Linked DNA regions of Oryctolagus cuniculus. The protein of the gene in region 2 purifies or fractionates together with the protein of the main gene of each other region. This does not show direct contact. Links are inferred from orthologs where the notes say so. Each region holds a gene or a part of one and is shown on either strand. Other genes may lie near its edges.

What was found.
Region 1: the proteins of VDAC1 (region 2) and UQCRC2 fractionate together in Homo sapiens (co-fractionation; 3 studies listed by BioGRID, with this or other methods). This does not show direct contact. The link is inferred for Oryctolagus cuniculus from reciprocal best matches to the Homo sapiens genes VDAC1 and UQCRC2.
Region 3: the proteins of VDAC1 (region 2) and BSG purify together in Homo sapiens (affinity purification with mass spectrometry; 3 studies listed by BioGRID, with this or other methods). This does not show direct contact. The link is inferred for Oryctolagus cuniculus from reciprocal best matches to the Homo sapiens genes VDAC1 and BSG.
Region 4: the proteins of VDAC1 (region 2) and RAB2A purify together in Homo sapiens (affinity purification with mass spectrometry; 3 studies listed by BioGRID and IntAct, with this or other methods). This does not show direct contact. The link is inferred for Oryctolagus cuniculus from reciprocal best matches to the Homo sapiens genes VDAC1 and RAB2A.
Region 5: the proteins of VDAC1 (region 2) and ATP5F1C fractionate together in Homo sapiens (co-fractionation; 3 studies listed by BioGRID, with this or other methods). This does not show direct contact. The link is inferred for Oryctolagus cuniculus from reciprocal best matches to the Homo sapiens genes VDAC1 and ATP5F1C.
Region 6: the proteins of VDAC1 (region 2) and BCAP31 purify together in Homo sapiens (affinity purification with western blotting; 3 studies listed by BioGRID, with this or other methods). This does not show direct contact. The link is inferred for Oryctolagus cuniculus from reciprocal best matches to the Homo sapiens genes VDAC1 and BCAP31.
Region 7: the proteins of VDAC1 (region 2) and ATP1A1 fractionate together in Homo sapiens (co-fractionation; 3 studies listed by BioGRID, with this or other methods). This does not show direct contact. The link is inferred for Oryctolagus cuniculus from reciprocal best matches to the Homo sapiens genes VDAC1 and ATP1A1.

What each region holds. Positions count from the first base shown.
Region 1 is NC_091450.1:17,381,507-17,385,473, forward strand, and holds the start of UQCRC2 (cytochrome b-c1 complex subunit 2, mitochondrial), read right to left. Parts: upstream 2,801-3,967; 5' UTR 2,666-2,800; coding exon 2,633-2,665; intron 1-2,632. UniProt on the Homo sapiens protein: Component of the ubiquinol-cytochrome c oxidoreductase, a multisubunit transmembrane complex that is part of the mitochondrial electron transport chain which drives oxidative phosphorylation.
Region 2 is NC_091437.1:22,341,559-22,345,759, forward strand, and holds the start of VDAC1 (non-selective voltage-gated ion channel VDAC1), read right to left. Parts: upstream 2,801-4,201; coding exon 2,734-2,800; intron 1,956-2,733; coding exon 1,906-1,955; intron 1,067-1,905; coding exon 914-1,066; intron 820-913; coding exon 767-819; intron 1-766. UniProt on the Homo sapiens protein: Non-selective voltage-gated ion channel that mediates the transport of anions and cations through the mitochondrion outer membrane and plasma membrane.
Region 3 is NC_091447.1:58,340,801-58,344,825, reverse strand, and holds the start of BSG (basigin precursor), read right to left. Parts: upstream 2,801-4,025; 5' UTR 2,788-2,800; coding exon 2,721-2,787; intron 912-2,720; coding exon of another isoform or gene 564-911; intron 32-563; coding exon 1-31.
Region 4 is NC_091437.1:85,951,610-85,955,109, reverse strand, and holds part of RAB2A (ras-related protein Rab-2A), read right to left. Parts: intron 2,753-3,500; coding exon 2,670-2,752; intron 2,276-2,669; coding exon 2,183-2,275; intron 1-2,182.
Region 5 is NC_091444.1:75,491,032-75,494,531, forward strand, and holds part of ATP5F1C (ATP synthase subunit gamma, mitochondrial), read right to left. Parts: intron 3,122-3,500; coding exon 2,917-3,121; intron 1,908-2,916; coding exon 1,764-1,907; intron 1,658-1,763; coding exon 1,593-1,657; intron 656-1,592; coding exon 500-655; intron 1-499.
Region 6 is NC_091453.1:132,057,056-132,060,555, forward strand, and holds part of BCAP31 (B-cell receptor-associated protein 31), read right to left. Parts: intron 2,914-3,500; exon of another isoform or gene 2,729-2,913; intron 1,259-2,728; coding exon 1,123-1,258; intron 298-1,122; coding exon 174-297; intron 1-173. UniProt on the Homo sapiens protein: Functions as a chaperone protein. Is one of the most abundant endoplasmic reticulum (ER) proteins.
Region 7 is NC_091438.1:54,059,565-54,063,064, forward strand, and holds part of ATP1A1 (sodium/potassium-transporting ATPase subunit alpha-1), read right to left. Parts: intron 1,861-3,500; coding exon 1,657-1,860; intron 859-1,656; coding exon 745-858; intron 493-744; coding exon 358-492; intron 270-357; coding exon 152-269; intron 1-151. UniProt on the Homo sapiens protein: This is the catalytic component of the active enzyme, which catalyzes the hydrolysis of ATP coupled with the exchange of sodium and potassium ions across the plasma membrane.

The DNA.
Region 1 (3,967 bases), on a different chromosome or scaffold from region 2:
GTTCTAGTGCTTTAGAATTTTCTGAAAAAGCACCGAGTTGCCATACTGATGCCCTTTTTTAGATTTTAGCATCAGTGCTTCCCCTAATTACTCAACACGTCTCACTTTTTTAGTGTTATTTTCCAATCGAAATGAGTTCATTTCTGTAATCATTTTACCAACCTTTAAAAAACAACAAAGTATACCAACTTCTTGTGAGCCCCTCATATTTCCATTCTACCTTTATTCTGTTATGTACTATGCTGAGACTCACAACCAAGGGTCTTAACTTTCTTTGACTAAATGTTTATACCATTCTGAGATTAGCAATCAGTCACTCCACCACTGCAGAGTCTCGGTATAAACATGCATTTACTGGCAGGGAGAAAGGATCTTCTTAAATGTCAGACAATTGATCTAAAATGCATTCACTTCATTTAGTTTTTGTTGGCAAATGATAGGCAGTGGCATAAAGCTCACTCTGGTTACGACTTCTGTTCATGAGTTACTAGTGGAGATGCTGGGTAAATAAACATGGAGCTGCTGTCACCTGTGGCGCTCCCTGGACCTCCCCCCCCCCCCCACCCCAACATTAATTCCACAGTGAAAAGCAGACCTATATGAAAGAGGTGCATTTAGAAGACACCACCAGATTCTGGCTAAAAGAACAGAAAATGAAAAAACACCTTTTAGCTATCAAAATCCCAGGCAAGACCAGAGAAGGGGCTTCAAGAGCTCCTTCCCCGAGCTCTTTCAAAAGATAACACAACCCGTGAAGATTTCTGTGGGCCTTGGGGCTGGTGGTGCCCATTTTCCATTTCCAGCACCACTGGTTCAGGTTACAGGGAGAAAAACCAATCCAAAGCCTCAATGGATCCTTTACCCCTGGCACAAGAATTCCTCAGAAACCAACTTATTCCTGCAAATGGGGCCTTGACCACAGCACAGCGGTGTAAAACACCCTGAAAGCTGTAAGCTGCAGATAAAAAGCTTGTAACTGTCTGCGTAGAAATAGCTGAAACTGAACATACAAGACCGGGAAGAGATTTATAGCAGTCTATTGTTAAGGCCTGGCTTTTTGAAGCTCAAAACCTGGGAAATCTTCTTCTCATAATTATAGCAAAACACACACACAATTGGAGGAAAACCAATGTTAGAACAACAAAAAAGTCAAAATACAAAAAAGCTTGGTGCTCCCAAGATCCAACCATAAGGGTGCTGGAGTTTCTAACCGACCCCCAGCAGAGGCTGCAAGGCCTCCCTGTGCTGTTCACATTGGCCGTCAGTGCTGTATTAAGCTGGCTGCTGGTTTATTATTGGCTGTCAGTATTGCTGAATTCTACATTACAATTAGCTTTGCCTTGACATCATCCACTTTCTTGCTGGATATGGTAGAGTTAAGCCTAGTTGTGACTGGCCTGTGATTTTCCAAAAAGTAAATTTTATGATACATGGAGAGAGCAGTTCCATTGCCAACTTAGATCTGGTTATGAACCTATCTGTCCCCTTCAAATCTGCAACGAATTATCCTAGAAACTGGCATGCAATTGCTGTTTTAATAAAATATGTAAATATCATATATAAATATAAGTTTATATACATATAAACTTACTGATACAAAATTAACTGCTATAATTAGAAATAAAGAACGGCTTTCACATTCACTGTAGTTTGTTTACTTTGACTTCTCTAACTGTAATCTTTGAGGTTTTCTTTCTAGTGGAAAACGGAAGGAAGGAGGCGATTTTGCCCCCGACCCGCAATTTACCTGGCTGCCCTCAAAGCGTTATCAATCATTGGTTTGTCTAGGCACGCCAGGAAGGGTGATACAGTTACAGCCTAAATTGTACAATCCACAGTACATCCGCTTAACCCACAGGGGACCCATCGCCACGTTAGGTCTTTTATATCTTCTAACGGGCTTTTCAATCCAGGTGCTCCTGGCATTCTGGCTGCATGACCCTGTTGTAGGAGCTGTTTCTGTGCATCTCAGGAAGTGCAGCAGCACCCCCCTTGGCTTCTTAGATGCCAGAGGCAGCCTCTCCACAGGCTGTTAACACCAAAGTGTCTCCAGACATTTTTGTTACCAAGAGCGAAAATCGTCCCCCTCTGAAATCTGAAGAATGCTCGATCGGTAAAGTCTATGCAAATATTCCCCCAATTCGAAAAACTCTGGTCCCAAGCATTTCGGATATGAGATATTCCACTTGCACCTGCAATGAGCTCATCTATTACACGTTTATGCGTAAGCCCACTGCACAGTTATAAGCCAAGGAGCAGAGGCCGCAGCAGATAAAGGGTGGGTGACAGGTCTCAAGGACCTCTCCGCCTCCCCCGGCCCCGGGTCTGGCAGTCTCCTCGGGCACCCAAGTGCAGGAGTGACCTTCAGACGTCTCGTCGCCGCGTCGCTGCATCTCCGCCCTCGACCCCTCCTCCCTCTCTTTTGGCTTTCTGGCGTAAGGTCTCTTCTGCTCACAGAACAACCTGGGCCTCCAACGCCCGAGCCGGCCTGAAGCTAGCGGGCTCGCAGGGTTCAGATGAAGGGCAGATTGGATCCCAAGGCAAGGCGCCCAAGGGCAGGCACCTCGGCTTCCGATCCACCTGTGGATACACCGCTCCCCAGCCCTTCTCCAAACCGGCAGGCTGAGCTCACCGAAAAGGACCCGGCTCTGGTTAATAGCTTCATGGCTCGAGATTGCTTTCACCCGCGGTCACTGCCGGCTTAAAGGAAAGCAAGATGGTGGTGGAGGACAGGAGTATCCCAGCCTTCCCCGCGAACACGTTCCCACGCCCCTTGCTGGGCGAGGGGGACTCTCTATACAGACTGCACTCGACTGCTCCCGGAGAAGGTTGGGCCAGTCCAGTTCCTCCGGGACGGAGGATAAAGAGATGCATAGTTGCGAAGGTAACTACACAAATGATTTAGGTTAAGGTTTTTTTTGTTTGATTCATTTACCTACTCGAATATCTACTCTGTAATTGTTTGCTAACAATGTTTACAATAGCCCATCATCACCACACCCCTGGCACTTTGGATTCGTCCGATGTGGATCGTCCAATGAAACAGCGGCTTGCCTGGAAGTCTACGCTCAGGGCACCCGGACTTCCGGTTTCCTGGAAATAGGTGTTTGAGGAGTTCCTCCGTAGCGCTTCTTTCTCTAGGGATCCTGGGCGTTACAGCCGGGCGTGATTGCTTCTCGCTTGGTGAAGGCCTCACGAGATCAGCAAATCCGTGAGAGCAGAGGCCTGGCCCGGCTGTACCCCCCAGAACGGGCCAGGGACACCCGTCGGTGAGTCCGCACCCCAAAGGGCTGTGCGGCCGTGGGATTTACATGGAAGGCTGGGGTTATATAGAAAATAAGAGCTATGTAGTGTTCGTGTGAAGGAAAGAAAAGTGTTTTCTTTGAATAGTAGGCGTGTGTGTCAGGCGCGAGCAGAAAGCCGCGTGCTGAGACAGGCATGCTGGGACGACCGAGGGGAGCTCGCCCTTCCGTGGGTGTGAGTTTAGCCAAGGAGGTTCTTGCTGCCAGGCCCTGTGCTCAAGGTCGAGGCCCGGTCCCTGCCCTTCGGGGACGTGCAGGGTCCTCCCATCCTCCGTCACCGGGCTGGGAACCCAAATTTGTCAGCATGGGTATCCTTGGGGAGTTCGTTAGAAATGCAGACTCCAGGCCCCATATTGGATCCGAATCTGTTTTTACAAGATTTCCCTGGGGTGACAGGGACGCGTTTAAGGTTTCACAAGTGCCAGTGAGGTAGAGGTTACAAGGCATAGATAAATTTATGTCTTTCTTGCCTTCTGTCAGAAATGTCCGCGCTCGAAACTGCCTCTGGCTGGCCTGCAGTAGGCCAAGAGACGCTCGTGAAGAATCCGGTGCCAACCCAATTTCTTTCTTTTTCTTCCTTTGTTAAAGGTTTAGCTATTGGGCCGGCGCCGTAGGGCAGTGGGTTAAAGCCGCCACCTGCAGTGCTGGCATTCCCCTACGGGCAC
Region 2 (4,201 bases):
TGGATAATTTTCCCCAGGGTCAGTAGACGACCACTTGGAGCAGGAAAAAGCAAGCTTGTACAGGGGACAAGAACGGCTCCTTCTGCCACGTAGACAAGCACCTAGGAACTGAGGCCCCAGTAACAACAAACAAGCCTGCTCTGCTGGTGGCCAAGGGCCTGGGGCAGAAAAGTGCAGGTCAGACCTTCCCCGTCTCAGGGTCCCTGAGCAAGAAGCCAGCCTGACAGAGGGGGCTGGGAACAGGAACCAGTTAGCCTGGCTTCCAAACATCACCTGTTATCCCTCAGCTTCAACCACTCACATTAGCAGCAGCCTCAGCACATAAAATACAGCATTACTCAAGCAGAAATCCTACAGCCCCCACGGCCGAGGCCAGGAAAACACAAACAGGGCAGAATCTTGATTACGAAATATTGCTGGCTGATGAGCCAAAGAAAGGAAGACCCTGTGGGTCAGGAAGGTGGGGTGTGGCTTAACACCCAAGGCCTGGATACCCTCAGATCCCTAGAGGGGCCTGGAACAAGTGCAGGAGGAACTGGAAAACATGTCTGTCCAGGAAACATCATTCCCGAACCAAGCAGTGCTCATCAGAGCACAGTCCATTCATGAATGGCCATGAGTATGTCCCGGGACTATATCGAAACCACAGAACTCAAACTCACAGGTCACAGAGGATGTTAGGCCCATCCCCAAAACCCTTTGTCACAAACAGCTTCCAGTGCCTGCAACATCACAGAAGGTCCTTGTGGAGATAAGAGACTCTTACCCAGTGTTAGGCGAGAAGGAGGAATCGAAGGTCAGCTTCAGTCCACGTGCAAGCTGAACAGAAAAGAAAACCAGCAGCGAGTTTAGTGACAAGGCAGGCCAGCAGGTGTGCGTTCACGAACCCACATCTCGGCACAGGCTGCAGTACCTGGTCTTCCACGGTGATCTCGGTGCCCAGCGTGTTGTCGGTGTTCCATTTCTCCGTAAACGTCAGCCCGTACTCAGTCCACCTGTACTTGGTTTCCAGACTGCCCGTCACTTTGGTGGTCTCAGTGTTGGCTGAGCCTGAGCTTGTAAATTCCTACAAACAAGAGATATGAGTCACAGCCTGCACCCCAGGACCCACTCCATCCCTAACCACTGGAACTGCCTTCACGCGACAACGAGATACCGGCAGTGGGGGGCAACAGCTGCCTCCCTCCCCTGTAACTCGGCACTCCCATTCCATCCCGCCTCCAGCCGAGGACAGAGAAGCAGCACCGGGCTAAGGCTGACAGAGCAGTAATTCAAGCCCAAAACTCCTTCCTTCCAACAGTGACTCCATGCACAACCTAAGGGGAACCATGGGCTGGCGCTGTGGCACAGCAGGTTGACTGTCCCCTGCAAAGCCAGCAGCCAATACGGACACCTATACAATGCTCTGCTTCTGATTCAGCTCCCTGTTAACGTGTCTGAGAAAGCAGCAGAAGATGGCCCAAGTGTTCGTGCCCCAGTCACTCAAGTGAGATCCAGATGGAGTCCTGGCTCCTGGCTTCAGCCTAGCTGCTGTAGCCATCTGGGGAGTGAACCAGCAGATGGAAGATCTCTCACTGTCACTCTGCCTTTCAAATAAATCTTTAAACAATAAATAATCAAATAAATAAAGGGGACCAGTGAGTTTTCTTAATAATTATGTAGTTAGGCACAAGTCAATTTTATAACAAGAAATCCAAGGAAAACTGGAACTACATGAGGTCTGCTGTGATGTTCTGAGTGCTACCAGCTGCTGAGTTGGGGACCCCCAGTGTGGACCCCATGACTGTGATGACCACAAACCTCCCCAATCTCAGACAGCACATTGTTCTGGCCTTGCCAGGCACACCTGGGCAGTTAAGTGGTTAACAATAAGCACACATGTTCTGTGGGAGTGAGACAACTTACCAATCCATTCTCGGACTTTGTTTTCAAATCAAGCTTTATTAAGCCAAATCCTACAGAAAGAAGACTGCAGTTAACAGGTGAAACAATGAAACCAAAAACAGCATCTCCGCCCTTCTGCCCTTTCGAAACACTCTGGGTGCTGACCCCACCTGGGCCCCACGTGGGCGTCACCTGCACTCCCCGTGGGGCTGAGAGGAAGGTGTCCCACAGCCAGCAGAGACACACCCATCGGCTTCACGCACACAGTGGGCTAAATTTAGAATCTGTACCCACAGAGCTGCTGCACCTGTGGAAGGGAAGACACTAGGGTCCACTCATCAGCAGCAAACCATAGGCCTGCCCCGACAGGGGCACAACCAGCAGAGCTCATCTCCCTCCCTGGCACAGAAGTGCCCAAGAGGCCGGCACCTGCAATGCCAGCATCCCATATGGGCACTGGTTCAAGTCCTGGCTGCTCCACTTCCAATCCAGCTCTCTGCTATGGCCTGGGAAAACAGCAGAAGGTGACCCAAATCCTTGGGGTCCTGCACCTCCATGGGAGACATGGAGGAAGCTCATGGCTTCCGCTGGTGCAGCTCCAGCTGTTGTAGCCAACTAGGGAGTGAACCAGTGGTTGGAAGACTTCTGTCTCTCTCTCTCTCTCTCTCTCTCTCTGCCTCTCCTTCTCTGTGTAACTCTGACTTTCAAATAAATAAATCTTCTTAAAAAAAAAAAAAAAAAGCGCCCAACAGCTGACCGACAGGGGTCTCCCAAACTGTTATGGGTAAAACTGCAAACATGCCTACCCAGCCTGTGAGCTGAAGACGGCCCTCTCCCAGCTCCACTCACCGTAGCCCTTGGTGAAGACATCCCTGGCAGATTTGCCAAGATCGGCATACGTGGGAGGTACAGCCATCTTCTACTGCAATAAAAGAACCGCCAGAATAAATATGCTGGTAATTATGGAAATTAGTTTACAATCAATAAAAATTATTAGCTACAATTAACAGCCAATTAAAAAAGACATTCCGGGTGCCTCACGCTCCCAGGTACAAGCAGCAGTATGCACTGTCTTGTACCTCTGTTTGCAGCTAGGGCTTGAGGCCCCAGTAAGCCCCTGCTGACGGAGGTTCGGCCACCTCTGCTGGGCTTCTCCAGGACTGAGGCAGGCCCAGGGCACAGTAGGAGCCCGTAAATATTTGCTGAATGAATTACCTGCCACAGACGCACTCCCATGAGTCAGCTTCTCGGCTGAACTGCAGAGCTCTTGCCAATAAAACCGATCATTAAGGATGGGGGCCGCTAGGACATTAAAGGTGTGGAGGAGAAATAGAGCCTTTCATGGCTGCAAGTCTTCTGCATGGTTCTGATTCTACAGCTCAACAGACACAGGTGCCAGACAAACCCAACTTCTCACACAGCTTCTGCCCTTGAGGGGAGCCCACAGGAAGGGAGCCGCATTCCTCACCAAGCAGGCCATGCCTCGTGGACAGAAATCCAGCCGCACCCTCCAGGAAATGTAACTTCAATTGGTGCTGAGGGATAGCAAGATGGGCACTTGACCCACTGTGCGGCAGTGGCTACGTGCCCCTGTGGATGCCCACATCCCATGAAGGAGTGTCCGAGAGCCAGTCCCACCTCCACTTCTAATCTAATTCCCGTTAATGAGCCTGGGAGGCAGCAGATGATGGCTCAAGTACTCAGGTTCCTGTCACTCACATGGGAGACCTGGATGGAGTTCCAAGCTCCTGGCTCTAGCATAGCCCAGCTGTGACTGGGAATTCAAACAGCAGATGGAAGATCTTTCTCTCTCTGTTTCTGTCCCTGTCTTTCCCTCCCCCGTCACTCTGCCTTTCAAATAAATAAGTTTAAAAAAAAAAAAAATAAAAAGCAATGATTCAAATAGTCCTTGTCCACACAGAACCCCTAGAAGGCAATATTCTGAGACTGTGCACACAGAATTAAAATCCCAATCCTGAAGAACGACCTGTGTGCTCTGTCCAGAGGGAGAGAGTTATTCATGAGAACAGTGCCACTTGTCACCCTTTTCCATCTCCAGAATCATTCCTCTCAATGAACCCAAAGGACAGTTCCATTCATTTTTAAAATACAGTATGCTGAAATGACCACAGTGGATGTCATACGCCCAAGTATGCATGCATAAACACACTGCAGTCACTGGTGACCAGGATCCCACTGTAAAGAGCTCAGATGACCCAGGCGTCACTATCACAACCGGAAGCTGTGACCCAGGCCTTCACTTCAGAGACATTGCAGGGAGCCCACAGGGCACCGGGTCTGCTGTACAACAAACCAC
Region 3 (4,025 bases), on a different chromosome or scaffold from region 2:
CCGCTCTGCACAGAAGTCGTCACGGTGCCCGCTGGGAGACCACGGCGAGAGGTCAGCAAGGGGCAGGAGAGGAGGGGTCGGCCCTCCGCCACGCCGAGGCCTGGCTCAGAGGGTGCCCTCCGGAGGGCCCTTGTGCACGGGGGTGTGGCCCAGGCATCAGCTCCCGGCTAGGCTAGGCTAGGAGCAGCCCTGCAGCACGCCCACACCTCCCGCCCCGCCCCGCTCTACCCCAGGCTCGACACAGCGGCCTCACGGTCAGCTGAGCACGTTCCCATGGGAGGTCCGGAGAGCCTTGAACCTGGGCTGACCCAGGGAGCAGACCCAGCCCCACCGACCAGGACAAGAGCCAGACAGGCGCCCACGGAGGGAGGGAGCACGGATGGAGCGGGTCGGAGCGATGGACGCATGGGCGGACAGGACGGGGGCGAGGGGCCCACCCGCATCCAGGCCAGAGACTGCTCAGGTGGGTGGGAGGGACAGAACCGGGCAGGAGAGGGCCTGGGCTCTACTGGGTGGGAGCCGATGGCACAAGAGGGACACTGAGGCAGGTCTCTGCCACTCACGTTCCAGGACCGCCAGGCTGGCCTGGGCACGGACCCACTTGACCCTGGGCGGCCGGGTCAGGTGGTTGCGGTCGGGGTCGTTGCTGGCCCGGCACTCGTAGGTGCCCGCGTCCTCGGCGCTGAGCTGGGCGATGGACACGGTGCTGGCCGCGTGCTCGCGGTAGGCAGCGTGGATGTGCACGCGGCCCTGCCGGGCGCCGTCCCAGAGCTGGGAGCTGCCGTCGCCGGGGCCGTCCCCTTCAAACCACCACTGGATCTCGGGGACCGGGCGGCCCACGGCCTCACAGTGCAGCTCCACGCTGCCCCCCGCCCGCCCCTCCTGCGACAGTGGGGGCCGCACAAAGCCAGCTACGGGGAGAGGGCGAGAGCGTGAGGCCCCCACGGCAGAACAGGAGCGGGCTGCCCCCACGGAAGGCAGGGCAGGGGGAGCACACGCATGTCCAGCTAGGGCTGAGCCCCTAAGGTCACGGGACGGGCGCTGGGCTCTGCGAACAAGGCAGCTGTGGGGACAGTGAGGGGCGCAGGGCCCTCTTGGCACGGACACCCGGGCCATCATCGGCTTCCTTATTTGAACACAACAGAGGGTCCTGGACACTGCCTAGGCGGACAGGGGCGGGCAGGGGCTCCCGTCCACCCTCCCCTGGGTCCTGACGCTCCGGCCCCAGGTGCCCTGGGGACGAGGCACCTGCCTCCCTGGCCCGCCTGGAGGCCGCTGGACCAGCCCAGGTGGCCTCCAGCAGAAGGACCCCTAGCTGCAAATCCCACAGCCCTGGCAGAGCTGAGTCAGGCAGGAAGTGAAGCCGAGGTGCCCCCCGAACACCCCGGCCGCCTGCAGGTACCGGGAGAGGCCGTACTAGCCTGGCCGCAGCTGTCCCAGCCCCGGTGTCCAAGGTGGGGAACCGGCCGCCCCTCCACAGGTCTGCACCACCTGGCGCTCCCCAAGGGACAGACGCAGCCTCCGACAAGAGCAGCTGGACGTCAGGGGGACACTGGTGGCCCAGCTCCCTGGGGTGAGGCCCCTGGCCGCCCCAGTCCACGCCACATCCAGCCCCAGGGTCAGTCTCAGAAAAGCCACAGCTCCACTCGGCCCACGTGATCTGCAACTCAGGTTCAAGTCACCTTCACTAGAGAGCGGCCAGGCGGGCAGGGGGCCAGGCGCGGCCTCGGTAAACAAGCCCAGCCTAAGGCGGGGCCGCTCGGGAGGGAAGGGCCCCACCCGCTGGGGGCCTCGCCTCTGCCGCCCCACCCTCAGCCAAGCCTCCCCCGGAGGCCAGAGGTTAAGCGTTTGCTCGGGGCGGGCCAGAGTGCGGCCCTCCTGGGCTAACCCCCGCGGGGGCCCGCGGCTGTGCGCCTGGAGAACAGAGCTGGCCAGGCCCCGACCCGGGGGGACAGGAGGTGGCCAACCCAGCGCGGCCAGGCCCCGCACAGAGAGCAGAAGCGTGCACGGGCAAGACCCGAACACCCATATAAGGCGCCCGGGAGCCAAGTCGGAAGCAACACCCCACCACGCACCGTGCGCCCACGCACACCGCCGCTCCGCGCAGGGCTGAGATCCCGCACGGCCCCCGGCCCCGGGGTACGGTCGACTAAGCCCGGCAGGGCCAGAGCGCGCTCCGCGGGGGCCCCGCAGGAAACCCGGCGCCGCCTGGGGCTCCCTCGCGCCCCCCGCGCTCGGTCGAGGCCGGGGACCGGGAAGAGGAAGCCGCCGAAGTGGGTCAGCAGCGGCCCGGGAGCTCCCGGCCGGGCCCTGGGGCTCCACGCGGGGCTCCCCCCAGCGGCCTGGGCGACCTCGCGGTGACCTTGGAGACCCACCCCCAACAGGCAGAGGAGGAGGGGGCCCGCACGCCCGCGCAGACCCCGCAAACGCGGGCGCGCCGCCGGCCAAATCCCCGCAGGAATGATAATCCCGGGGCCCAGCCTGCCCGGGCAGCGGCCGCGGACTGCAGCCGAGGGCCACGAGCGGCGTCCCACGCGGGGGTCAGCCCCGGCCGCGTGCACCGTGGAGGGGGACGGCGGCCCCCGAGACCCGGGGCCCTGCTCTGCAGGGTGGCCGCCCTCCCGACGAGGGCCCGGGCCGGGACCCCCGGGGCGGCGGCGGCTCGTAGCCCCCCCGCCCCGGCTCGTAGCCCCCGCCCGCAGCCCCCGAGCGGCGCCCACCTGCCGCAGAGGCGCCCCCGGCGCGCAGCAGCGCGAGCGCCAGCAGCGCGAACAGCACAGCCGCCATGTCCCCGCCGTCCGCCGTCCACCGAGCGCCGTGCCCGCTGCCGGCTACGGCCCCTATAAGACCGGCCGGGCGCGCGTGCCGGGCGCGCGCACGCAGGGCGGTGCCCCGGGGGCGGGGCGCGCACGGTGGTGGTGGTGGGGGCTACGGGCGCTCCGCGCACGCGCACACACGCACGTACGCGGGCGCCGGACAGGCGGGCGGAGGCTGCGGAGGCCGGGGCGGGCCACGTGACTCCGGGCGGGCCACGGGACCCCGGGGGCGGCGCGGCGTAGCGGGGACCCCGGGCAGGGCTCGGGGGCTAGGGTGCGCGCTCAGACGCGCACGTTCCTGCCGCACCCCTGCTGGGGACGGCGCTGGGACCCCCCACGACCCAGACGAGGGCCGCAGGCCGCGCGCGCGCCCAGGTGCCGTGGAGTCGGGGTGGAAGTTAGGCGTCGGCGCATGCGTGCGAGCGCGGCCTGGGGAGGGCCAGGAGTCGGGGAAGCGCCCCGAGTTTTACCCCGCGGGATCCCGCCCAGGCCCAGTACTGGACAGGAGGCCGTCCTGTGCCCGGGGTTGCGTGGGCTCCCCGCGGGACAGCGCTGAGCCGGGGAACCTGGGGCGGGTGCCCCCTCCGTCACTCCTGCACCCCTCCCCTGGGGCGGATGCCCCCTCTGTCACTCCTACACCCCTCCCCTGGGGCGGGTGCCCCCTCTGTCACTCCTGCACCCCTCCCCTGGGGCGGATGCCTCCTCCATCACTCCTGCACCCCTCCCCTGGGGCGGGTGCCCCCTCTGTCACTCCTGCACCCCTCCCCTGGGGCGGATGCCTCCTCCATCACTCCTGCACCCCTCCCCTGGGGCGGATGCCCCCTCCATCACTCCTGCACCCCTCCCCTGGGGCGGGTGCCTCCTCCATCACTCTTGGACCCCTCACCTGGGGCGGATGCCTCCTTCGTCACTCCTGCACCCCTCACCTGTGGCTGAGGAGGGAGGAGCGCCGCACAGTCCGCAGTCTGGGTGCAGATGAGCTGCGGTCCCTGTGTAGCCGCACGGCATTGGCTTCCCTGGGTGGGTGGCGGGCGCGGGTCCACCCGTTCCTCCCCTGGGCTGCCTGCCCCTTCTGCTGCTGCCTGGCCGGCCACGCCTCTGCCTTCAGGATTCTTCCTCGGCTAAGAGAACGGGTTCCCCCATCCCCGCCAGCAGGTACACCCGGAAAGCGCTCGCTTTCTGCTGTTTCAGTTGTATTTTATTTATTTG
Region 4 (3,500 bases), about 64 Mb from region 2:
AATTTTTTTTTTTTTTTTTTTTTTTGACAGGCAGAGTGGACAGTGAGAGAGACAAAGAGAAAGGTCTTGCTTTGCCGTTGGTTCACCCTCCAATGGCTGACGCGGCCGGCGCACTGCGGCCAGCGCACCGCGCTGATCCGATGGCAGGAGCCAGGTGCTTCTCCTGGTCTCCCATGGGGTGCAGGACCCAAGTACTTTGGCTATCCTCCACTGCACTTCCCTGGCCACAGCAGAGAGCTGGCCTGGAAGAGGGGCAACCGGGACAGAATCAGGCGCCCCGACCAGGACTAGAACCCGGTGTGCCGGCGCTGCAAGGCGGAGGATTAGCCTAGTGAGCCACAGCGCCGGCCTCGGTATAAATCTTAAAATCAGTTTATCTACTCTCCACCAAAGTCTGTGGTATTTTGATTGGGATTACATTGAACTTTTAGAGAAATTTGGGAAGAAATGACATCTTAATGATTTTAATTTTCTGATCTAGGAACATGGCATATGTCTCTATTTACTTAGTTCACAATACTCTCTTATCCTTTTCATACCTGAAGATTCTTTAGGTCACTTCTCATTTCTAATACTGGTCATGTGTGTCTTTTTTTTTTTTTTAATTTATTTATTTGAAAGCCCAAGATACACAGAGAGAGAAGGAGAGGCGGGGAGAGAGAGGTCTTCCATCCACTGGTTCCCTCCCCAGTTGGCCGCAACGGCTGGAAATGCGCCAATCCAAAGCCAGGAGCCAGGAGCCAGGAGCTTCTTCCCGGTCTCCCACATGGGTGCAGGGGGTCAAGGACTTGGGCCATCTTCTACTGCTTTCCCAGGCCATAGCAGAGAGCTAGATTGGAAGTGGAGTAGCTGAGACTTGAACCAGCACCCATATGGGATGCTGACACTGCAGGCGGCGGCTTTACCTGATACTCCACAGTGCTGGTTCCATGTGTGTCTTTTTTCTTCATGGGTATCTATTTTTCTTCTCAAGAACTAGTTTTTGTTTGTTTATTTTTTTAAAGATTTATTTTTCACTTGAGAGTCAAGAGTTACACAGAGAGAGGAGAGGCAGAAAGAGAGAGAGAGGTCTTCCATCTGATGGTTCACTCCCCAATTGGCCACAAAGGCTGGAACTGTGCCGATCCAAAGCCAGGAGCCAGGAGCTTCTTCTGGGTCTCCCTCGTGGGTGCAGGGGCCCAAGGACTTGGGACACCTTCTACTGCTATCCCAGGCCATAGCCAAGAGCTGGATCAGAAGTGGAGCAGCTGGGACTAGAACTGGAGCCCATATGGGATGCCGGCACTTCAGGCCAGGGCGTTAACCTGCTGCGCCACAGCGCTGGCACCAAGAACTAGTTTTTCAGTTTCACTGCTTTTTCTTTATTATGTCTTCTTTTTGCTTATGTTGGGTTTAATTTGCTGTTATCTTTCTTAAAGTAAAAGCTTAGGTTGTTGGTTTGAAAATTGAAGTATTTAGTATTCTAATGTCTCTCTAAGCACTACTTAACTATATCCCTAACACTTTCAAAGATGTAGAGATAGATTCTAACTTGTGGAAAACAGATAATAATGTAAATAATTCCTATCTAAGAAATGCGGACTGTGACTCACAGAATACAGTATGAATATACCCTATGAATATTGACCAGTCTTACATCCACCTCTAAATTAACTTCAGCATTTGCTATTTGATTATGAATGTGTGGCAGTTTGAGTTCTCTTTTGAACTAATTGTAGATAGTATATACTGGTTTTTCATTAATTAATGAGATAAACAAAAGTTCTGATATGCTCATCATTATATGAGTCATGATTTTATTTTTCTAAAACTTATCTTTAAATAGTATCTATTCTAGAAGTGAATGAATTCTCTGACTGACATTTAGGAAATACTAATTTCTGCAACCACTATAATTTTCTACTAAAGTTAGTGAAAAATTTTCGATAGTTTTGAAAGTTCACAGAAACTTTGGCCAAGCAATTATGTTTTCCATGGTACCTTCAAATAAAACTGTGACGAATAATAGTTTTCAACAAAGCTTATTATTTATATTATAAAAACCAAAAGAAATATCTAACATTTTTCAAAATTTTATAATTTAAGAATACATGTGGAGAAATGTACAAGAAAGGTAGTCACATAAATAGAAGCAATCAAGTCTTTATCATTAATACAACAAGGTCTAATTTAGCCTTTTTACCTTTTATTTCCAATAAGCATAATGACCATGTTGGAATTGGAATGCTGGCGGGCATCTTCTAACCATGTTGTCAAGTGGTTGAATGTATCTCTCCTAAACAAAAGATTAACAATTACTTTTTTGGAAATACTTCCAGTAGTACACAGTTAATAGGATACATTCCATTCAAGTAATCATTTTTTGCTTTATCCACTTATATAATGAAAAGCACATTTCAAGCACACTACCTGGGTTTAGAGTTCTACTGATTACATTCAGTTCAATGGAGCCATACTTTAAAAATTTCCAATCCATAAATGTTACCAAATTGATCAATATGGAGGTTGCTTATTGAAATCCAAAAAAAGAATTGCAGATTTCTATAGTAAATTTAAATTTGATTCAGGATACAGAGTTTTAAAAACAAGTAGCCAAGGCAATATAAAGACAGAGCTACACTTTTATTACTGGTAACCATATTTATTTAGAAAAATTTTCAAGCTCTCACCTTGTAATATCATACACTAGTAAAGCCCCTGCTGCACCTCTGTAATATGACCTTGTGATGGAACGAAAGGACTCTTGACCTGCCTGTGAAGAAAAAAAAAAAAAAAACAAAACAAAAAAACAAAAAAAACAAGTTGAGAGCTTCCTTTCACACACTGTCCTCTATATTTTCAGATTTTTCATCTATAGAATATGGGAGGTAGGGAAGGAGTCCATAAAGGGACAGGGGAAAACTTAAGTTCAGCAGTCACATAATACCACTATTGCTCAAGTCAACCAGAAGCACATGCTGCTGCTCACTCCTGCAACACTCCCCCACCCCACCCCTTGCCAACCAAGACCCCTAACCCTTTTTGGCAATCCCTGACAACCCAATTTACTGAATGGCTTCACAATACATGAATCATTATTAGAGCACAGAATGGACTCCTAGCAACTAAGCTCTGAAGACAAATTTGAAAGGAAGCAAATAACCCAGAGCCTTACATTTGAATTCAATAACCCACTCCCTGGGGCAGCTGTTGACACTAGAATAAATAAAGCCCATTGTAAATAAATGATGAATGACATCTTTACGCCCACCATCTGCTGGTGTAAAGGTTGTTGGAAGGCCAAGGATGCAGATTTTATCAGTTATATCATAAACTGCAGCAAGCTTTCAACAGTCATCAGATGGAATTCTTTGAGCAATCATTTTATTATGAAAAACAGAAAATGGTTCTGAATTTAATTTATATAATTTTTTTCCATACAATCAATTTTCTCTGTATTTGATATATAATGCTTGTCAAAAGGCCACAGAATGTGAAAGTCATCTTTATATCCACTTGTG
Region 5 (3,500 bases), on a different chromosome or scaffold from region 2:
TCAAATATAAACAAAATAAATCTTCAATAAGAGATCCTATTTCTTTTTCTTTTTGGGTACCAAAGTTGGCCTTTTTTATTTATTTGAAAGGCATAGTTAGAGAGAGGGAAAAACAGAGAAAGAGACACTTCTATCTGCTGATTCACTCCCCAGGCAACAGCTGTGGCTGGGCCAAGCTGAAGCCAGGAGCTTCTTCAGGGTCTCTTCCATGTAGGTTTAGGGACTCAAGCACTTGGGTTGTCCTCCACTGCTTTCCCAGGCACATTAACAGGGAGCTGGATGGAAACTGGAGCATCTGGGACTCAAAATAGGATTCATATGGGATGCTGGTGCTGTAGGTGGAGGCTTTACCTGCAATGCCACAATGGTGGCCCCTCAAAAAAAAAAAAAATATTATGTTAACATTTTTAGTGTTACTCTGGGTAACAGACAGTTCAGCAGAGGATGCACTGTGCACACAAAAGCACTCTTGCTAGTCCTGCCTGGATCACGTGCTTACAAGCATTCTTGCTGGCGTTGTCCATGGCTGTCATTCTTGCACTCTGCTCACTGGTGGTAGACTCCTTCAGAGAGTAGTAGATGATGTTGGCCAGATTGTATTCTTGGTAATTTTGTAGCACATCAGCATCAACATCATCATAGATGCTCATGCTCTCTGTTAAAACAAGTGATAAATTTCTTTGAAGCCATACAGAACAAAAACTGATTTTTATCAAAACAGCTTGCTAGTGCCCAACCCTTTATAATAACCGAAAAAGAATCTATTTACATGATATAAATAGCATATTTTCAGCAAAATATAATGTACAAAGCATTTGATATATGAGCTCAGAGGCTTAACTTAAAAATAAGACCCTGACATTGAAAATAACAATGAATTTCACAGTTATGAAATCCAGTGCAGAGCATCTAGCAGTCCCCATCACAAGGCTAGCAAGCGCTCAATAAATGTTCAAAAAAATTAATGGAATGATTGAAAGCAGAATAGTGGAATTAAATAATTCTGATTTAGTCATTTGATTATTAGAGAAACATGAATGTGTCACTCTGGAAAGTGAGAAAGGAAGACATTTTTCTAAGCATATGAAAGTTTGTGAGAACTATAAGCTGTTATGAATTTTAGTTTTATTTAGGAGTACATTTCTAAATCCATTCATTAGGATAAAGTAATGCTATAGTATTGTATTTTATAAAATTTCAGATAGTACTATCATATCTTTTATTTTAGGTATTAAGAAAAAATAGCTAATTAAAAATGTTTCATTGGCTGAGCAAGGCATCCCAACTTCAAAAATTCTAAAATGTAAGGGTTTTGCCTTAGAAAAACAAAATTGGTTCTAGAATTTCTAGGGTGCTTCACTGGACAGTGATGACTTTACTCAAAAGATAAAATCAATGGGTTAACATTACGTTAGTTGTCAAGACTGTTCAAATATGTACACGATTTTGGTTGTATTATACTTGAGTCCCACACATAGATAAGTCAATTTAATCTTTGAAGACAGAAAACCCATCTAATGAGGACCCCAATAGATAAATATTTCCCTCTCAATTCTACATGCAAAAATACTTGTCATATAAAAAATACTTACCAGCACTTGCAATGGTATTAAGGGAAAAAATTGGCTTTTCTTCTGTCTTATAGGAGATTACAGACCTAGAAATGACAAAAGCATAAGTAAATCTCAAAATAACTTTTAAGCAGACATTTAGTTATTTTAAAATATGGACAAAAACATCTCTGATTTCTGTGTTTTTCTTACTTAAATCGATTAAAGATGATAGACCCTTCATCAAACTCATATCCAGAGTTTAATAATTCAAGAGCAATGACTGACGCATCTCCAAAAGTAGGGGGCTTTCTTCCAACTTCTTTGAATGTCACTAGAAACTGGTCAGAATGAGTCCTGTAGGAAAATCCAGAGATCACTTAAAATCATTTAAAAAAAACTCAGAGAACAAGTTAAAAACATTTTCATGCATCAAGTTTTCTTGGGGGGCAGAGATGTGGGTAGTGGTGCTGACTCCCTAAATTGTTCCACACATTATCAGGATTGTTCCCTTCCTTTGGCACCTGTAATTGCTCCTGGCTTTTGGCCCAAGCTGTTGCAGCCATTTGGGGAGTAAATCAGCAGATGGAAGACCTCTCTTTCCCTCTCTTTCTAGTTCTGACTTTCAAATAAATAAATAAATATGTCTTGAAAAAAAAAAAAAAAGATAAATTTGGGAGCAGATGTTCAGTCTTGAATTAAAGACTCCCATTTCTTACATGTGAGTACCTGGCTTTGATTCTTGTCTCTGGTTCCTGATTATAGCTTCCTGCCAATGTAGAACCCTGAGAAGCAGTGATGATACTCAAGTAATTGGGTTCCTGCCACACACATGGGAGACCTGGGCTGCATTATTCCCACCTGCTGGTCTCAGTCCCAGCCTACCCTTAGTGGCTGTGGGCATCTGGGTAGTAAACAAGTAGATGGGCATACTTTTTCTGTCTCCCTGATACTTACAAATAAATAAATAAAAATATGAGCTTGTTTGGGTGCAGAAATTCTTGAAACCTATAGTTTGACCATATTATACATTTTCCATGAACTTTTAGGACACCCCTCATATTTCTCTTCTTCCAATTCTGATGAACTACTGATTATTTCTAACATCTCCAGGCTGTGATAGCTTCTCATATTCCCTTTTTGGCTTAGTGCCAATAGCTTTTGCTAGTCCCATCATATTCAACTTACGGTTTTTATCAGAGAAGTAACATACAGTATACACATACAGTAAAAAATAAAAACAAAACAAAAAACTCTGGGAGTATACAAAACATGGTAACCAAAAAGGACACTTTGCTTAAACAAACTATTAAAGAACCTTCCATTTGTTCATACTTGTACCCCTTTGAACATAAAATGAAATTACCTATGAAGTATGCCCCTGATTTTGTCACCAACTCCAACCAGCATAACTTCTTTTCCAGCTGCTGTGAGTGCAGCCACCTCACTTTTCATCTGTTTGGCGACAGAGGAATGAATAGCACCACAAAGCCCTCGATCTGAGGACACACCAATAAGGAGGTGTTTCTTCTTGTCTTCAGGTGCCTTAATATCAGCTTTTTCATACAGAGCTTAACAAACACACACACACACAAAAAGCAAGAATTTGTAAAATGTACTTTACAAATAGCAACAACACTTAGTTGACATAAGATTTGCCTATTTTCAAAATACGCATTTAAATTTAGGTGACACATGAGTACAGTCAGAAGTGTCTGTACTTATTCATTGTACAACCAAAGCTGAAAAGCATAAACATTTAAATCTCTGTATAACAAAGGTTCCTAAGGGTCAATTATTAGCCAAGTTTATCTCAAATACTGAGTAAAATAAATCTCTACTACATTTAAATTACTTGTAAGAGGCCAGAAGCATAGAGATTCCCACTTATATTGATATCAGACCTCTAAAGAATGCAAACAAAAAATGTAGGTAGGCAAGTAGGCAAGT
Region 6 (3,500 bases), on a different chromosome or scaffold from region 2:
TCAAACCACTCAGGCCCTCCTGGCCGGGGCCTGAGCTAGGCTGTGCTGGTCTTGGAGGTGCGGGGTACCATCTGGGTGTTTGCAGCCAGCTCTCAGCTTGTGCGGGTGTTAAGACACTGGGCACGAAGGCTGTAGTCTTCTGGGGATGGCGGACACACGAGAACAAGCCTCACTCTGCTTGGCACTGGCCAGGTCGTCCTTCAGCTTCTTCAGGTTAGCCTTTAGGCTCCTGTTCTCTTCCTCCAGCTTCACCTCAGTGTCCCCAACGTCCAACTTGCGTCTGTCAACAGCAGCTCCCTGGGAAAAACGCCAAGGGCTGGGTTACTGGGGAGGGAGAGGCTCCAGCCTGCCCCACCCCCCGAGCCCCAGTTCCTCCAGCTGCCCTGGGCACTTGTCCCTTCAGAAATGTCAACGCAGACCTGGGCCATGGCTTGCTCTCAGCTACCAGGCAAAGGCCAGGGTGTAGTTGCCCGCCGAGGGAAAGGAAAAGCCAGTGGGGCCACCTGCTGCTGCTCACAGGCCATACGCCCTGCCTGAGCTGGCCGCGTGCCTGCCTTCTTCCTCACCAGCAGGGCCAGCAGCCCTGTGGAGTGCACCGCTGTACCAATCCTCCACGTGCCGTCCTGGGAGATTTCTGCAAGTCATTCACTAGCGACTCACTGCTTCCCTCCTTCCTCTCCCAGGCCCGGGCAGCTCCCTGCAGCCAGGGGCCCTACGTTCACCCTTGCTCATCTGCTTCCACCCAACCCATGAAAGCAAACCTGTGCCCCTCCTTCCAAGCTTGGTTCTACGATAGGCCAGCAGCCTGTCCCTGCCTCCTTCCCAGCACTGAGGGATACCCGAGAGCGCAGCAACCTTCCAAAGAACGAGGGCCTGAGGGGAGTGGCTCCTGCACCCTCTCCAGCAGGCCTTGGTGAGCTAGAGGAGGGTGTGAGAGTAACCCCGGATCCTTCTTCACACGCACCTCCAGTGGGCACACTGTCCCCACCGAGAACCTCCACTCTACGCCTCCACCCACCTCTCCAGCTGCTCCCCGGTTTCCCAGGCCGACAAGGGCCACTGCGGCCCCAAAATAACATGGCTGCCCGGGCACCCCACAGCGGGCAGGAAGGCAGGGCTCACCTTCTTTAGCTGGTCGTTCTCTTCCATGTACTTCTTGGCCGCCTCACTGGCGCTCTCTGCCTGCTTTTTAAAGGCTTCATTGGAGGCCAGCAGAGTGGCCTGCTGGGAGATGAGAGTCACCAGGCGTCTAAGCAGGCTGCAATTATTTACAAAAAAAAGGGAGAAGTGAGAAAAAGAAAGAGCAAAATAGCTGGCAGGCACTTCTCTTGGATGCTCCCTACCCCAGCCTGCCTCCAGCCTGGACCTGCCCTCTTGAATTGCCAGCAGCCGAGCGAGAAGCCGCCAACCTGGCTCTGGCAACACGAAGGGGAAGGGTGGGGCCTGGGAGCTGTCTGCTGCCACTGCTCCAAAACAGCCACCCTTGGCTCTGTGAGGCGGCTAAGGGGTGGAGGGGGGGTTGGAAGCAGGAGCCAAGGGACACCCAGGGCAGGGCCTAGCTACAGCAGGAGATCCCAGGACTCCAGCACTCTCCAGTTCAGTACTATGGAAGCCTCAGCACCCTTTTCCTCACTGTGAGGCCAGGCTAGCATCTGTCAAATACCGAGAGCAGCTAATAAATTTGGGTACCCCTCACATGCCAGGCCAAATCCTATCTTACAAGGCACTTACTATCGCAGGCCCCATCTTACAAAAGAGGAAACTGAGGCTGAGCAATGTGAAACAATTTGTCCAGGGTGAGAAGCCAGACATGGACAAAGCTGGACTTCCAACTTGTGTCTCTGTGATCCAAAGCCTGAGCTCCGAGCCACCATGCTTCCTTACAAACTAGCAGGTCACAGCCCCCAGGTCCCGACAAAACCGAAAGGTTTCACTTCTCCCCAACCCCCTTCTCAAACCCGTCACACAGGCAGCTGCCAGGACACATCTGTTACATAAGAGTGCCCAAATTGAGGTCTGCTTGGGCTAGCGGGGCAGGCGAAGAATCAGGACACAGGTGCCCACTGCCTGTTGGAGGCAGCCCAGTGGCAAACAGGTGGCAGAAGCTGGGCCCCAAGCACTTCCCTCAAGTCCACCTGTGGGATGGGATGTCAGCTGGCAGAAGAGAGGAGGGACGCATGCCTCGGCAGTCATCAAGAAAGGTCTCAAACACTGAAGATGGGGGCTAGGAGTTGGAGTGTGGCTGCCTACCCCCCACATACCTTGAGAAGGGGCCCGATCCCACAACAGAGGGAAGGCAGAGTATGTGCAACGGCCCAAGGTAAAAAAGAAAAATCTGCTTTCCCAGGGCACTTCAAGCACAGAGTTCTGGCTCAAGAGACCAGCAGCCTTGGCGGCTGCTCCCAACCTTTTTTCTCCTGGCCCTCGCCAGGCCTTGGCAGGCTCTGCTCACCTCCACCTGCAGCCTGCTCCCAGTGAGCAGCACGGGGCGGCTGAGCAGGTAAGCCACCTTCCTGGCCCCCGCCAGGCTTCTCCAGGGCCCTGGCAGAGCCCTTTCAGGAATGCACACTCAGGCCAGGGCAGCCCGCAAGGCAGGAGCCGCCCCTGCGGTTCCTGGTGTGGGGAAAGGCTCCCAGGGGCCCCTGGCGGCACTGGGAGAACCAGGCTGCTGATTCCTGGCAGGAGAGGAGAGTTTCCAGTGACATGTGCTCTCTAAAATTAGCGACCAGGACCTCGTGGCCTAGGGCTCAGGTTTCCCTGCCTCAGCCCCCGGCTGCCCACCAGCCTGCCCCCCACTGGGCTGGAGCTGTGAAGGTGGAGGGAGCTACCAAGCACCTCAGAAGTCGGCGAGAAGCAGTGTGCCTGACTCACATCGGCATGGCCGGAAGTCACTGGAGAGGCTTAGAAAGAAAGGCAAGTGTGACTAAGCCCCAACCCCCCACTCAGAGCTCGTGGGATGCTGAGGAAGAGGCTGGAAATGGGGGTGGGGGCACGTGTGCCGCCTGGCGGTAAACATGGGGCCTGTGGACACTGCAGGGACGGGCCACCATGGGGCGGGCAAGACCCAGGGTTACATCCCTACCCCAGCAGGCTGGGCCAGTGGTGAATGGTTACCAGGGAGGCCGGCCCAGGGAGATGGCTAACACAAACAAGGCAGTGGTGGCAGTGGTGCCAGCAGTGCCAGCGGCAGCGCAGCAGGGGCCCGGCTCTCCTCAGTCAGCCCGGCTTCTCCCAGCTATTGAGAACCAAGGTTTCCGAGAGTCCCGCACACACGCACGGAACTGGGCATAGACCTGTGCAATGTGTGCTCAAACTGCTGGCCCCTGCTCAGCCCCAGACCCAGTCTTCTGCTGGTGGCTGTCAGCTGTTAGGGTCCCCCAGAGCACCCTGGTTACCTTCCCAGGAAATGCATCCGCACGCCAGTCCTAACAGTTCTCCTCTACATCCTCCATGCTGGAGCTGTGCCAACACACCCAAGGACAATTCTGGAAACCACATCC
Region 7 (3,500 bases), on a different chromosome or scaffold from region 2:
AAAGCAGCCACGAGGCTTCCCAGGTCTCCCTGCCGCAGGTGAACCCCCTCTGCCCTGCACTTGCTGGGGCTGTCAGGAAAGGAGCCAGAGGAGGTTTCAAGATGCTACTGATGCCCAGGGTGACCACCAGGCCACACCGGACACACAGTACCTTCAACGCAGTTGGTGGAAAAGAAGGCGATGTTCCTCGTCTCCAGCGGGTTTTCATTTGTAAAATCCGGAGACCTGGTCTGGGGTTCTGATTCACCAGTGAGTGAGGAGTTATCCACCTAGAGGAGAGAAAAACAGGTGCTGTGCGAATCCCGCGGCCTCACCACAGGCTGCTGCGTGCCTCTACCGCACCCATCCCAGGGCTACCTTGCAGCCGTTCGCCGATATGATTCTGAGGTCAGCAGGGATGCGGTCTCCCCCCTTCACTTCCACCAGGTCCCCGACCACCACATCCTCCGCATTTATGCTCATCTTCTCACCATTTCGAATCACCAGGGCTTGCTTTGGAAGGCAAATAAAATAATGTTTACAATGTTAGATCAGAAAAAAAAAAAAAAGACATCAACAAGGAGAGGATGGTGCCCTAACAAGAAAGCCATCCAGTGACAAATGATCTGTAACACCAATCATCTGAATTACAAACTTGATCCACACACGTTCCAGGAGGTGGCTCAAGCTCTCAGTGTGCTAACGGCACGGCACACTGGCTGACCCCTGGGGCCACCCCGTGGGGGCAGGACAAACTCCAGGTACCTGAGGGACCATGTTTTTGAAGGACTCCATGATCTTTGAGCTTTTCGCTTCCTGATAGTAGGAGAAGCAGCCAGTGATGATCACGACCGCGGCCAGCACCACGCCAAGGTACAGCTGCGAGAGAAGACGCAAAGTTCAGGCTGGCCGGCTCGGGAAGAACTGGGAACATCCAGTGAATTTTTGACTGAATCAAAGCAGACTTTTAAGGAGCGATGAAGTCATCAGAAGCCATCTTCACGGGGATCTTTCTAGGGCCCTTGTTGTGTGTGTGTGTGTGTGTGTGCGGGGGGGTCAGAAATGGACTCAATCCCCCAGACATTTGGCCACTAAACTTGGTAAGACTTTTTCTTTTTTTTTAGGGCTATGTAGGTATTTATAATATTGCTCTCTGGCCACACAAAATGGTCAACTTAAAAACTATGGACTTATCGAGTTTCAAGTCCCACCTACAGCTGCCTTGGCAAGGCCAGACAACTGACTGCCCGGTCTTCAGATGGCCTGTGGGCTGTATGTCCCCAGCCCCTGCACTAGATGAATCCACTTCCCCTACTCAATTAAAAAGACATTTTCCAAACAATTTGCAACTGTCTGAAGAAAGGCTACCAAGCCCATCAGGTCTGACATTGCATGCTGTGTTCTGCCCTCCCTGGTGGGGCAGCCAGCCCTGGGCCAGGGGCTGGGCAAAGCCACCTGGGCACGTCTGGCCTGCAGGTGCACCCACGGTGTGTGCAGGGCAGACAGACCTGCAGTGCAGAAGGAGGGCTGGGCCTGGAAGCCACCTGCTGCACAGTGCTTGCCAGTGTTAAAAACCCCGAAGTAGCTAGTGGTGAAGGAAAGTTAAGTGGACAGCAAACGGCCAAGAGGATGCCCTAGGGGTGCTGACTAAGCCCCGCGTGGAACTGAGGAACTCACATTATCATTGTCAAAATCCTCTTCTGTAGCAGCTAGGATGCCGTAAGCCAGGAAGCAGAGAATCGCTCCGATCCACAGCAGCATGGAGAAGCCCCCGAACAGCTGCCGACAGAACTTCACCCATTCAGGAGTGGTGGGAGGGGGAGTGAGGGCGTTGGGGCCGTCTCGGGCCAGGATCTCAGCAGCTCGAGCAGTTGTCAAGCCCTGAGAAGCAGAGGGGACGTAAATTAGACAGTGTGCACCAGCACACGCCAGTGGTGCCCTCGCTGGACAGCTAGGACACCCGACTCGGGGGAGAACAATTTCCCAACCCAGAGTGCTGGGCAACACCCGGCCTGTGATGCTGACACCCACATCAAAACTCTTCCTGAATTCATCCGCAGACAAATTTGAATCCAGCCGCGTATACCCACCCCCCTGCCCCCAGGTTTCAGATCAGGGGATTCGTGCCAAATTGCATTTTTAATCAACAACAAAAGCCTATTAACCGATTGAGATTGATTTCAGTTTTGTAAATGAAGAGCTTTGCATTTCCTGTGCATTGATTTTTGTCAGGGAGGTTGGGAAAAACCCTCTACAGACATGAGAAGAGAAAAAAGTTCCGTAGGAATCCAACCTCCCATTGGGCCAGCAGCCAAGTTTTAAGTATAGGACCTTATTCTTTGGGTAGCAATTAAAACACTGGTGAGCAGGAAAGGGTTGGTACCCACGCCAATGTTAGCCAACCCCCGGTTCACCTGTCAACTGCAAAGTGTCTGTGGGAAAAATCCCTCTCTGCTGAAACCCTGCTGTTTCCTAACAGACCCTAAAACCCAGGCTCACGACAGCAACAGATTTGGCTCCTGCAAAGAGGGGGAAATATGATTCTTTCTGTACTACCCAAGTACCAAATAATAAATAAAAATATATTTTTGCCTAAAAGTGCTTACATATATATTTTGTGATTGTGTTCTTTTTAATACTGGAGCTGGCCAGGGAGTGTGGGGAGAGCAGAAATGAAGGTGGGGAGGCCAGTCAGAAAGGAGAGAATTCTCTCAGCTCCCCCTCTGCCTCCAGCTCAGCCCTCAGCAGAGTTAACAGAACCGTAACAGACCCAGACATGACCATGTGCCAGGTGCGGAACCCAATGCTGTCCCTCCGTCAACCTGCTTCTTCCATGACACCCCTCTCCCGGTATTACCAGCCCCATTTTACAAGTATGGAAACAGCCAAGCAGCTGACCCGAGTCTCTGGGCATGCACCTCCCAAGCCCCTCCGTGAGATGACGCACGTGCCGTGCCGAGAGCTCACCAGGAACGGTGGGCGGAGCAGCTCCCAGCGCACGGTTCTAGGGGTGCCGAAGCCTCCCCTCGGAGCCCAGGGTACCCAAGCCGGCACTCCGCCCCACCGCCTCCTGAACAATGGCTGCTTACTAGCTTGGCATCCTCACCATTCCTCAGACTCTTCTTAGTGACCATCTAAAAATAAACGCCACCCCCTAGACGACTCACTTTTATAGTGTTTGTAGCAAGCTCGCTATCAAAATCCCCCAGCACATATCTGACTGAAAGGTTCTGTACCCAAGCTTCAAGTCACTGATGGGACCGCCAAGGTTCTGACACAGTGCAGTGAGCTAGCTGGGAAAAGTTCAAAATTGGAACTGCCGACTCAGCACAACACAGGAGGAAAAACAAAGGGGAGATCTGCGACCAGGAGGTCGGGGGATGAGCACGGCTTCACTGAAGCCAACTGCAGAACCTGCTGCTCCCACTTAACTGGTTCTCACCTACCGGGAAGCAGGAAAAACAACCTCTCTCAGAAAGGCTCGGGAAAACAAGATAGGAGCATGCGAGCGCCCAAGCCCT